Linked DNA regions of Daphnia pulex. The protein of the gene in region 3 purifies or fractionates together with the protein of the main gene of each other region. This does not show direct contact. Links are inferred from orthologs where the notes say so. Each region holds a gene or a part of one and is shown on either strand. Other genes may lie near its edges.

Evidence for each region.
Region 1: the proteins of E3 ubiquitin-protein ligase RAD18-like (region 3) and E3 ubiquitin-protein ligase SHPRH-like purify together in Homo sapiens (affinity purification with western blotting; 3 studies listed by BioGRID and IntAct, with this or other methods). This does not show direct contact. The link is inferred for Daphnia pulex from reciprocal best matches to the Homo sapiens genes RAD18 and SHPRH.
Region 2: the proteins of E3 ubiquitin-protein ligase RAD18-like (region 3) and DNA polymerase eta-like purify together in Homo sapiens (affinity purification with western blotting; 7 studies listed by BioGRID, with this or other methods). This does not show direct contact. The link is inferred for Daphnia pulex from reciprocal best matches to the Homo sapiens genes RAD18 and POLH.

Annotation. Positions count from the first base shown.
Region 1 is NC_060028.1:1,214,002-1,217,832, forward strand, and holds the start of E3 ubiquitin-protein ligase SHPRH-like, read right to left. Parts: upstream 2,273-3,831; 5' UTR 1,496-2,272; intron 1,297-1,495; 5' UTR 1,112-1,296; intron 1,019-1,111; 5' UTR 853-1,018; coding exon 840-852; intron 772-839; coding exon 1-771. UniProt on the Homo sapiens protein: E3 ubiquitin-protein ligase involved in DNA repair.
Region 2 is NC_060027.1:5,025,547-5,029,377, forward strand, and holds the start of DNA polymerase eta-like, read right to left. Parts: upstream 2,700-3,831; 5' UTR 2,204-2,699; coding exon 1,929-2,203; intron 1,865-1,928; coding exon 1,734-1,864; intron 1,660-1,733; coding exon 1,585-1,659; intron 1,525-1,584; coding exon 1,351-1,524; intron 1,284-1,350; coding exon 1,082-1,283; intron 1,020-1,081; coding exon 830-1,019; intron 754-829; coding exon 1-753. Other genes in the region: coiled-coil domain-containing protein 97-like, read right to left, coding at 2,979-3,106, 3,167-3,831. UniProt on the Homo sapiens protein: DNA polymerase specifically involved in the DNA repair by translesion synthesis (TLS). Due to low processivity on both damaged and normal DNA, cooperates with the heterotetrameric (REV3L, REV7, POLD2 and POLD3) POLZ complex for complete bypass of DNA lesions.
Region 3 is NC_060025.1:2,017,028-2,020,627, forward strand, and holds E3 ubiquitin-protein ligase RAD18-like, read right to left. Parts: upstream 2,124-3,600; coding exon 1,976-2,123; intron 1,902-1,975; coding exon 424-1,901; 3' UTR 189-423; downstream 1-188. Other genes in the region: alcohol dehydrogenase class-3-like, read right to left, coding at 2,396-2,420, 2,490-2,628, 2,693-2,828, 2,886-3,016, 3,084-3,132. UniProt on the Homo sapiens protein: E3 ubiquitin-protein ligase involved in postreplication repair of UV-damaged DNA. Postreplication repair functions in gap-filling of a daughter strand on replication of damaged DNA.

The DNA.
Region 1 (3,831 bases), on a different chromosome or scaffold from region 3:
TACATTTGGGGCATTGGACTAAAGGAGACAATCCAGCTACTGTTTTCCCACAGACGCATAGAATGGGGGCTTCGTCTTTTTCGGCTGGGACGTTCAAGCGATTCTGGAGACTTTTCAGGCAGCTGTACTCGGCCAGAGAGTTGGTGTAATGAATATTGAGTCTTTTGCGAATTGCAGGATTGCTGCAGGTGCAGCGCTGTATCTTTGTGGCTGTGGGATTTTCATTTTGTATGTCACCACAATGAACATCAATCACTTCTTGGATGGTTGATTTTTCAATGTCTGGACTAAAGCGCCAAATGACATTTTCAATAGATTGCCCAATGGTTCGATTTGGAAAGCATACTGCACAATGGTCTTCGGAAAGCTTCATCTTCTTGGCTTCTGGCTCTTCGTTTTCTGTGATGGCAGTGATTGCTGGTTCCTGGCGTTCGATTTTGGGCAGTTTCTCTCTCGTGTGATTCAGCATCAAGGCTAGAACTTCTACCGTCTTTCCCAGACCCATTTCATCAGCCAAGATTCCTCCTTTGACTGAGCTCTGTTGTTCCTGTTGTATCATCCATTGAACGGCTTCTGTTTGATAGATTCTCAATTCTGGGATCAGAGATTTGTGCTGCACGTCCAATATGGGAGCCGTGCAACTTTGAAGCTGTTTAGCTCTTAGATTGACAAGATCATACAGAGCATCATAATCCACTGAATGACCATGTCTGAAAGAAAAGAGGTTCACGACAGTGTCATTCGACGTGCCAGGTACAGCCATAAATTCATCTATTGTACATACAAATATTTCAATTAACAAAAAAAAAGCCATGACAAAATAGAAAAAGCGTTACTACCATTCGACTCCATTCTTCCTGCTTATTTTGAATCGGCCCGTCCAGCAGGCAGCACTCACAGCCTCACAGCAGCTACTCAATTTTGATTTTGTTCCTTAACCAAAGTCGTCTGCTAAATTCTTTAAATGAACTTTCTACCTGAACCGTAAGATGGCGTTCAAGTAACATTGAAAGAAAACCTGTTTTTGTGTTTAATTTGTTTTTTTTTTTAAATAAAAATTCTTATTACACCACAATTTCCCTCTAGCCCAAGTAATGACAATAATACACACGCAATAAAAGAAATGCAATATCGTCGTGCGGCCAAATGTCGTTAAGAGAACGTGAAATACTTCACGTCCACGGGCGAAGTGGTTTGGGAATTGTGTTTTATTGAGCAGCATATCGAATGTCGTTTTCCGGTCGTGATAGCAACCCAACAAGTTGGTATCTCCAGCTCAAACAGTCTCTCCTGAAACTGCAGCAGTAAAAATCATTTTACGACACCAAAAAGAAATTCCCAAAAAAATATAAATAAATACACACAATACAAATCTGCGCATTAAACAAGATGTTATAACTACATATAAAATACAGCAGTCGCCCAACAACGGGAGAGAAACACAAACATTTCTAAAAACGATTTATTATCAGGTTCATTATGAATTTCTTCTTACCTTTTAAAAAAACTTGTTGCCTTTGAGGCGAAATTATAGAAGAAGAAGAAGAAAAGATCCTCGGCACTTTTTATCTCAACGCAGCCGGGGGTAGAGTGTGTGGATATATCTGTCCATGTATGAATACGCGCATTCTTTCGTGATGATATTGTGCCGTGTTGCTGTCGGAGCCTCGGGGCTCTCCATTCAAAAGGAGAGAGACTTTCACGCCCGTTTTCATTTGGAGAAAACGTCAATAGAAGGACTAGCGGAGGAGCGGCTATGGCCATATCTTCTCCTTTCTATTAGTTGCTTAGCTCATTTACCTATAACGGAGCTAGCCAGAAAACTTTAAAAAACAACTATGTGTGTATTTTTCCTCCCGAGACTCCCGAGATATTGTTTGCAGATGAAAGGAGCCACATATACTACAATTTACCATCGAGTTATGAGACAGACACTTCAATAGTTAACCCCAACCAGGATCTCAATCATTATCATGAAAACCAATCAATAAATAAAAATAGTAACTGAAAGGATAAAGAAAAACAAAATTCGTTGGATGAAAAACAAAACAAAAGAAAAAAATTAATTTCACAGAATTTCACAGGGGATGGCCGTGTGTATATAAGCCTTAAGGTAAAAAGGTGCGGTCGGTTGTAAAAATAAAAAAAAATAAAAATTACCTTTTTTTTCTTCTTTATTTCTTCCAAGGTTGAGATTCTACTCAGCTTGGCGATGGAATTCAAGGTGATTGCCGCCAGAATAAATCAGTGAACAAAAAAGTTGGATCCAATTTTTGTGTTGCATTTGCTCTTTTCCTTGTAAATGTTTTCTTCACTGTGCAGAAGCAGAAAGGGAGGCTCCCGAATTTCAAGGTGAATCTAGTACAAGACTCGTTTTTTCAGGGTGGGGTCGTTTTCGTGAAAAAACGGTGGCGGGATTGCGGAAGGACGCGGATCCATCGGCTGCGAAATCACGGTATAAAAGGTGGACCATCTGCTCCAGTTGAATCAAGCCAGTCTTCCACCGTCGACTTCCAGCATCACTTTGCTCGTTCCTCAACCGAAAATCAAAATGTACAAGGTATTAAAAACAAAATCAAGCCTCAAAATTTGGATAACTTGATAGCCCAAAAGGTAAAAAAACCCCAATTCATTTAAATTCATCAAATGTTTAAAATTTCAGGTCTTCGTTTTCCTGGCCATCGTCGCCGCTGCCAGCGCCATGAGCTTCGGCTTGGGTGCACCTCTCCTCTCCAAAGTGAGCTACCAGCCCACCGAGTACACCCATGTCCGACCGGAAGTGACTGTCCAACAGCCCGAGTACACCTACAAGAGCTACCCAGTGCCAGTGCCCGTCGCCCAGCCTTACTACACCGCCCCGGTCGTCCGCAACTTCATCGCGGCACCTCAATTCCACGCCTACCCCGGACTCGCAGCTCCTTTGGTTTATTAGATTATCTTTTATTGGATTTTTTGTTTTGTCTGTCTGAGCTTTTTATACCCACGATCCCATCCATTCGATCAATAAAAACGGACCTCCGATTTTTCTTGTTAAATCCAATTGTTGGCGTTTCTTCTAGCTCCAGGTACATATCTCAAAGGTGACCAAATTGGCATTTGATAGCGATGCCACTAAAGGATTAAAAGATAAGCGTTCGTTAGTCTGTAATTGTCACAGAGAAAAAAATGGGAGTCTGCGTTAGAACGTTTTCAACTATAAATAACAAAAGAGCAGCTGACAGGAGACTGGACATTAGACACACACAAAAATGCTGTTTCTTCTGCATAATCAACTCGTTTTTTCTCTTTCTTTATTCGAATCGTGTCCAGAATGTTTTTCTTTCTACAGCCATATACAGCACACGGGGATTGAAAGAAGGAGTCCAATGTTGTTTCTCGTTTCCCGGTTAGTTGTAAAAGGCTACTAACAAAAATGGAAAGACGGAGGAGATCAAAGTCCGTTCTATTACTTGCAGACGTCTGGACTTCATAAAAATATCGTATCCTATAACACACAGCACACGGCAGCATGGGAAAGCAGTCGAGCCGAACGCATTTGCGCTTCATTTAGCGCACGTGAAGATCGTAATGAGTCTGCATTATAAAGGCCGAAAATAGCAGCTTCCCCTATTAAAAAAGCTTCATGAAAATAAATAAAAAAATCACGAAAATTAGGTGGAAATAAAAAGCTTGTGGATAAAAATAGAACATCTCTGCGGTTCATCCTATGGGAAACACAACTGGATACTATATTTTATGATTATTTATTAAGATGTTAAGAGAGAGAGAGAGAACCAGCCGGCTATAGAAAATAAAATTTAAAAAAAGCGGTTCGGTTTCGAGTTGGGAAAT
Region 2 (3,831 bases), on a different chromosome or scaffold from region 3:
TAAAACTTGGCGCTGTAGATGAAGCGGGAGTAGAGCTAGGGTATCCATATCAACTTGATTTAAATCTGGAAATAGTTCTTCAACGGAGAATGACTCTTGAAGACCCACCATTTTCAGGGCTGCTGGTTCAGGAACAGATTCTTTAGCTGATTGTATTGGAGTGTTTTTGTCAAGGCAACGAGAAGCAAAAAACCCAGTTTTTTTCACTATTCCACAGTTATCTTGATTGGAAATAGGCATTGAACTCATTTCTCTATGGACTGATACAGGCTCTGCTTCAGTGCACTCTGAAGCAGAGTCGGCTGTATTTGGTTCTGGTGCCGTAATACTTTCTTCTTCAATATCCAAGATTCTTTCAGTTTCTACAAATTCATTTTCTTCATCCTCCTGATCAGTACTGTTTTCGTTTAGATCATCGTTTTCATGCAATGCTTCCTGTTCTGCATAGGGTTCTTTTTCCTTGTTGGTTTCAGCACTATTTTTAGTGACAAAAAAGCGATCGATCCTGGAATTATTTTCCAGTTGATCAACAAACTTGCTAGCTGAAACTCCAAGGCAGGTAACAACCACTGGAACTCTAGTGTTGCCTTGTTTGAAACAAGGATTTTCTTTACTAATAACTGCCAAGCAAGCGTTCGCCATGTGCATTTTTTCGTATGAAGAAGTCAGAGGAATTGAACGAGTATAAGAGTACGGTCGTATATCGCCTTCTAATCGAACCGTCAGAGTTAATAGTTTTGCCGTTCTATTATTCTAAAAAAATAAATTTTCAAGGGAAAATATGTTATGCCAACACACGAAAAAGAGGTACAAGAGTGATGGGATTTACCGTTTCCCGGTCTTTCTCGAGTCGCTCAGAAACTTCAGCACATAACTCTTCTAGCCAATGGCTTATTTTCTCCCGAGAATCTAGTGCAGCTAAACCAGTGAAATTTTTATTACAGCCTATGGACTTGGGCAGTCTGCGGGAGCTGACCGACTCATGATCCACTCCTCGGGCGTACCAGTAAAGCCACGTGCTGAAAGACAAAGATTTCAATAAATATGAGAGGCATTTAAAGATGAAAGCGAGAAAACTTACCCCGTCTTACTATCAAAACGTTCCTGCAAGACCCGCTCGGGAATTTTTACGATATCTGCCATAGTAGTACAATGGAACTCTTCTCGTAGAACAAGACCAAGTTTACCACCAAGATTTCTAACTTTCTTTAAAGGGAACGTCGTAAAAAATTCCTCAACGGAACGAAAAGGCAAAACGGTTTGCTTGTTGGGCTTGTTGATGCCTATAGGAAAAAAAAAAGTCATTTTGAAGGCTCATAATAAAAAAAAAGAAAAGAAATAAGAGCATACCACAAGCTAGTTTCGCCAACATTTTATTGTTGGAAATCCCAGCAGAACAACGAAATCCGGTTTTTTCATAAACAGCAGCGCGCATCTTTTCAACCAAAATAGCACCATATGTTAATTTCCAGTCATTATCGTTGCAATTTCCTTCCGATAACGCTTGTAACCACCCGTGTACACCTACGAATTTATAGGAAATATTGTAGTAATAGAACTAGAGCATGTAAAATAATGACCGACCTTTTACATCATCTGTGTCGTTCCCCCATCCAACAAAGTAAGTGTTTGGAAGCTCTTCAAGATCGATCGCAGTGGCTATATTAGTAAAAGTAGGACATTGACAAAGTGAATGACGAATTTCATCAAGCTGAATTTTACTTTCAACCAACCTGTGGAATCTGAAAGCATTTTATCTATAACCGCGGTCATGTCTATGTATGCTTCATCAATACTGGCGCGCTCTACGACGACACCAAAGCTGCACATCACATCAATGACTTCTTTTCCTCCATCCCTGTACCTAGAATTGCAAATTATGAAAATTATATATATCTTTTTTGATAAATTTAGAAAAATACTTTTACCTTGTGAGATCAGCTTTTCCTCGCTGTTCAGGTACTCTGTAAAGAATGCAATCTGGACATTTTTCCCTGGCTTCATCTCCTCTCATCTGCTTAGTTACTCCTTGCGCTCTAGCTTCATAATTTACAGAAATAATACCACCCCCTTTCCATTTTTTATACTGCACCACACAGGCAGGTTTTCCTTTGTTGCCAGGATTTTCTCTCTCTTCCACTTGAACATAAAAACAGTCCATGTCAATCAAGGCTACAACTCGTTTTTCATCTTCAGCACTCATCTTTTAAGTTTTTTTGATGCACAAAAGTTCAAGTATTGTATCATATCCTCTCTGGTGGAAGGACTCAATGGAAGATCATTGCTTGATGTGGAACACTGACTATCAATTTCATTGTCATCACTTTTTGACAAAACCAAATTAATTTCCTTTGTAAGTATTGGTTCTTGAGACTTCACTTGATCAATACCATCGTTCAATTTTCTTTCCAAACAAGGAACTAGTTCTTCGTCTTCACTGTTATCTGGCGACGTATCAAAAACGACAAATTTTACATCTGGATCTCCTGCCAGGTATTTTGAGCTGTTTGGAGCAAAATGATACCCTTCGGACCACGTTTTCCCAGTTGTTTTAGACATTGACTTTTTAAACTTAATAAGTTGTCACATTTAATATTAGTTTAGCATGTATATCTTCCCGAGCAGATTTTTTAATCGGTAAACAACCTACATCCACAATTCCACATTGACACATTCCTCTCGAGTTGTCTGCTTGTTAGTTCCCGCCAAAACTTAAACCCGCCATACTTCAACCTGGTGCTTAAGCTACCTCTGAAGTTCTCATACATAATAAAAATTTGTTTAAAAAATGTTGTTAATCGTTTACATTATTAAAAAAAAGAAATTCGAATATAATCAATCACCAAATACTCAATTTACACGGATAATCTGTATGACTGTATGTACTCGAGTCAATTTTGTTATTGAATTTTTTTTTTATTTACTTTCATTACAAATCATGACATTTGGAAGATTTCATACAGCGAATTAATATTGTGTTAGTCACTATCAAAGTATCGTTCTTCGGCATCTCTTTCATATATGACATCGTCTTTGGGATGTGAAGAATCAATTTGGCTGTAGTCGAACTCTTCATCACGCCCACTGAGAAAGCTACTATACATACCTTTAAAAAATGGTAAATATTAATCGAAAAAAAAATAAATAAATATATCGTAAATAATACTTGATATAAATTCATCGCGGAAGAATTTCTTTTCTTCTTGATCTATATCATCATCATCATCCTCTTCTTCTTCCTCTTCGCAAGCTAATGCCTCATCCCAAGCTGATTGATCAGCTCGTTGTTCATTTCTCCTTTTAGAATTCTCAGAATCACCATCTATGTGGGCCATGAAAATTGTTGAAAGATTACATAGCTTTGGTTGTTCCTGTTCTAACAATCTTTTTTCATCTGATGACATATATTTCTCAACAAGCTCATGAAATAATATTGGGTTTCTTTTCCTCATTTCATCCATGCTGAAATATTTCCCTTCTTTTATCATTTCATTCATTGCATGGAAACGCAGGTTTTTAACACTAGTTTGTGTTAATTTATTCTGTTTTTCCAGCTGCTGAAGATGAAATAAAACTTCATAGTTGTTTTCAAATTGATGAAAGTAAGTCAGGTGATTTGGATTCAATATTTTTCCAAACCTGACTAAGAAATTTGAAGGACTTGATTTCAACACTGACGCTGCAATCTTTTTCTTCTCCTCAGCTGTAAGTGCTGGTTCATCACGTTGCTGGCTTCTAAAGAAAATATCTTCCGCTTGGCTATTTGCCACATAAGTGATCATTTGCTCTTTTGCCAAGTTGAGTTCTTCAACATCATTGTCAGTAATGTTG
Region 3 (3,600 bases):
CTCTTTTCCTACTTAAAAATCACGTACCTATTCCTAAGCAGGCATCCTGCTTGTGTAATCATAGATCAATCAATTCATAATTAATGGAAAACGTGATTCATCTCAATTAGGGAATTAGATGCATGGATCATTCCGTGACTGAAGGACTTTCACTTTAATAAGATACTCAGTTAAATCTGGAATGAATACTCAGGACATTTCTGGGGTTTTATTTATCATTCAACAATTAGGATGCCAGTTTCTTTTACATTTTCAATTTTTCGTCGCTTTCATTTGAAATTTGTAAGCAATTTATTCTCGATCGGAAACATAAAATTTAGAACCAAAATGACTGGCATGCAAGAATAGCAGGGCAAACCATTTTTGCACAAACAAAAAGAAATTATTAGAAAAAATATTTACACAATAATGCCACAACTATCTTCAAAATCTTCTTCTTAATGACAGTTTGCGGTCGGACATGTTCAGCGAAGGAGACTTTGACCTTTTCTTTGACATTTTCAGTACGGTGGGCAACATAGCGCTCAAGCTACTGCTAGATTCTTCTTCAAATAAAAATTCGGTAGGTGACTCAACTGGACTGTAGGTCGTTGGCGAAGTGGAATTGCTGCTACTTGAATCACTTGTCGACAAAGTGATAGTTTGAGCACCAACGGACAAAGAATTGCTATCCTTAGAACTCCCAGATTCCAATGGATCGGGAATGGAATCATCGGAAGTTGATTGTCTAGAGACGTCACTATCAGACGTACCAGCAGCTGAAACCGGACGTGAACTAATCGAAGGTGGTTCATCACTTTCACTACTGTCCGATAAACAGATCATTTCGTAAACCTTTGGTGGGACATAGATCTCCGTCACTTCTTCTTCGCTTTCATTTTCTACTTTCGGAGGCTCGTTCTTGATTTTGAAAGCTGGAGGTTCCTCAGGCAACGGTAGAGTAATAGGTGGTGGCGGCAAAGGTGGACGCTGCCGAATTTCGTTGATTAAACGATCGTAACTCTCTTTGTTACTGCGTAAATACTGAAGATTTTCCTCCTCGATTTTTTCTATATCATTTGTTTTCACTTTAGCGGAAGCAAGACGTAGTTCAGTAGCCAATCGATGGTTTTCGGCTTCTTCTCGTACATGTATTTCTATCAGTTCTTCGACCGGTCTGGGCTCCAAAGCATCGCACTCAGAATTGTAGAGAATGGTAAACTTCTTGTGTCGATTGATCAGAGTAGCTTTGTCACCAACATTGCTGAGTCCCAATGTTCTAAGCCTTTTCTTCAGCTCTTGTTCCTTCATTAGATGATATATCAGCTTTGGCATGGGCTTCCTCTTGGCAGGTTTGTTTGAGTTCAAACATGAATCCAGATGAATGTTGATAATAGTCTCCCTTATCAAGTTATGACACACAGGACAAAGAACTTCTTTCACATCATTAGAAGATTGACTTGGAGGTTTCTGATGAGCACTAGGTCTTGATGCTCTTACAGGTTGGCTGCATGATGCTATTGGAGGTTGATGAGTATCTACGACAGGAACACTTGATGATGCCAAAAAGACAGAAATGTAGCTGTTCAGACTTTTTCCATCAGCTGCTGTGAAAGAAGATGATGAAATATTCTCTTTATGAACATTCTGACCAGGCAATATTTCACTTTCTGCTTGTTTGTGAATTATGGCTGAGGAATGAGAAGATAAACTGTCTCTTGAAGTTTCTGTTGAAAAACCTTCTTGTTGTTGATCTCTGGTGTTCACTAGAGTATTCAAAACATAATTCTTTACTGGCTGAAAGCATTTGATGATTTCTTCAAGGCAACGGTTTGGGCGCAGCAACCCATCAGAAATGTCAACAAAACATATTGGACAGCTGTTCTTGAGACTTATGTTTTTCCTGATGCATAACGAACAAACTGTAAATTTTAAAAAAAAGCACACATGAAGCCTTAGTATTAATATGTAAATATAAAACTAATAAAGGTATTACAATTGTGTGAGCAAGCAGTTGATATCACAGGATTTTTCATATAGTTGTAGCATATTGGACAGTGTAGACGGTCATCTATATTTTTTAACTGAGGCAACTCTCTCGGCCAAGTAACTGGAATGTCATCTGAGTTAAACAAATCTCCCATTTCAATGCAGTATTGTACTATTGTTTCACAATTTTACATGATCAAAGCCACAGCCCGCGCCATCACAAAATCTTTTCAAGTCTCATGTTAACAGCAACGTTGCCATTTTTATTTCCGGTACAACTTTTTTTGTTTTGAATTTGAAATCAAAATATGTTTTTATAATTTATAATTTCAGATGATAGGATTCTCCACGGTATGCAATTATATTTCGTATCAATGGAATAAGATGAAAATTAGATTTTAATACTGTGTTGCGACGTTCAATTGTTTCAGAAAGTGACCATGCTTCTCAAACTGAAAATAAAAAACATATGCAGGTATATATTTTTTTCTGATTAAAAAAATTTTTTAAGCATTTGTTACCATTCTCCTTTTTCAATTAGTTCCACAGCTTCATTTATGTTTTCAATTGGCATGGTGTGGCTTATAAATTCATCCACCATCAATTCCTTGGCTAAATATTCATCCACTAACTTTGGGATTTGGTCACGGCTCTTCCACCCTGACATATGATGGCCTTATTGTATGATCCATGGTATTAAAATTTTTATTTAAATATTTTAAACCTCCAAAATAGGTCCCTTTAATGGTTCTTCCATAGATTAGTTGTATAGGATTGTACGAGACTTCTGCTGTCAAATCAGCTACTCCCACAATAGTTAATACACTCAAACCTTCTTTACAGGCATTCATTGCTGCTTTCTGAAATGCAAAAAAATCTATTAAAGTCATTAGCTAACAAATTTTAATTTGTACTACCATGCAACTGGGGATGCCACAACACTCAAAAGCGTAGTCTAATCCTCCTGTTGTCATATCCATAATTACTTCCTCTATAGGTATTTTGTAGTCATCTGGGTTGATGAAATCAGTGATTCCAAATTTCTTGCCTGTAATAATCATTATTCAATCCAAGTTTTAAAAATACTTACCAGCATTAGATAAATGAATTCAAACCAATATTTTCTTTAGATGGATTAATATCAATGACCAATGACCACGACATGTAAAGCGAGTCGTACCGTCATTCATTAATCCAGCAAGCTATATATAAATAGAAATGTAAATTTCGTTTCGTTTTATCAACTGTAGGATTAGTGGATTACTTGGAATGTGCCGTTAACATTACAAATGTTGGTCTCGCTAGACTTGCAAAATTCACAATTGTAACACTGAGCTGTATAAACCGGGATTACGTGATCGCCTAATTGTAATCGATGGTTCTTTTAATTTTATTATATCGTTTCCATTTAAATAGATGAAATAACCTGGTTCAACGGAAGTAACGTTAGGTCCAACGCTTTCCACAATGCCAGCTCCTTCGTGACCGAGGATGCACGGAAATACATCCGGTCCGTCTCCCCCTCTTTGAAAAAACAAGTCAGTATGGCAAACCCCGGAAGCGACGATCTTGATGCGGACCTCTCCTGTCAGTGGAACAGCCACTTGTACCGTTTCAATCGTGAGCGGTTCT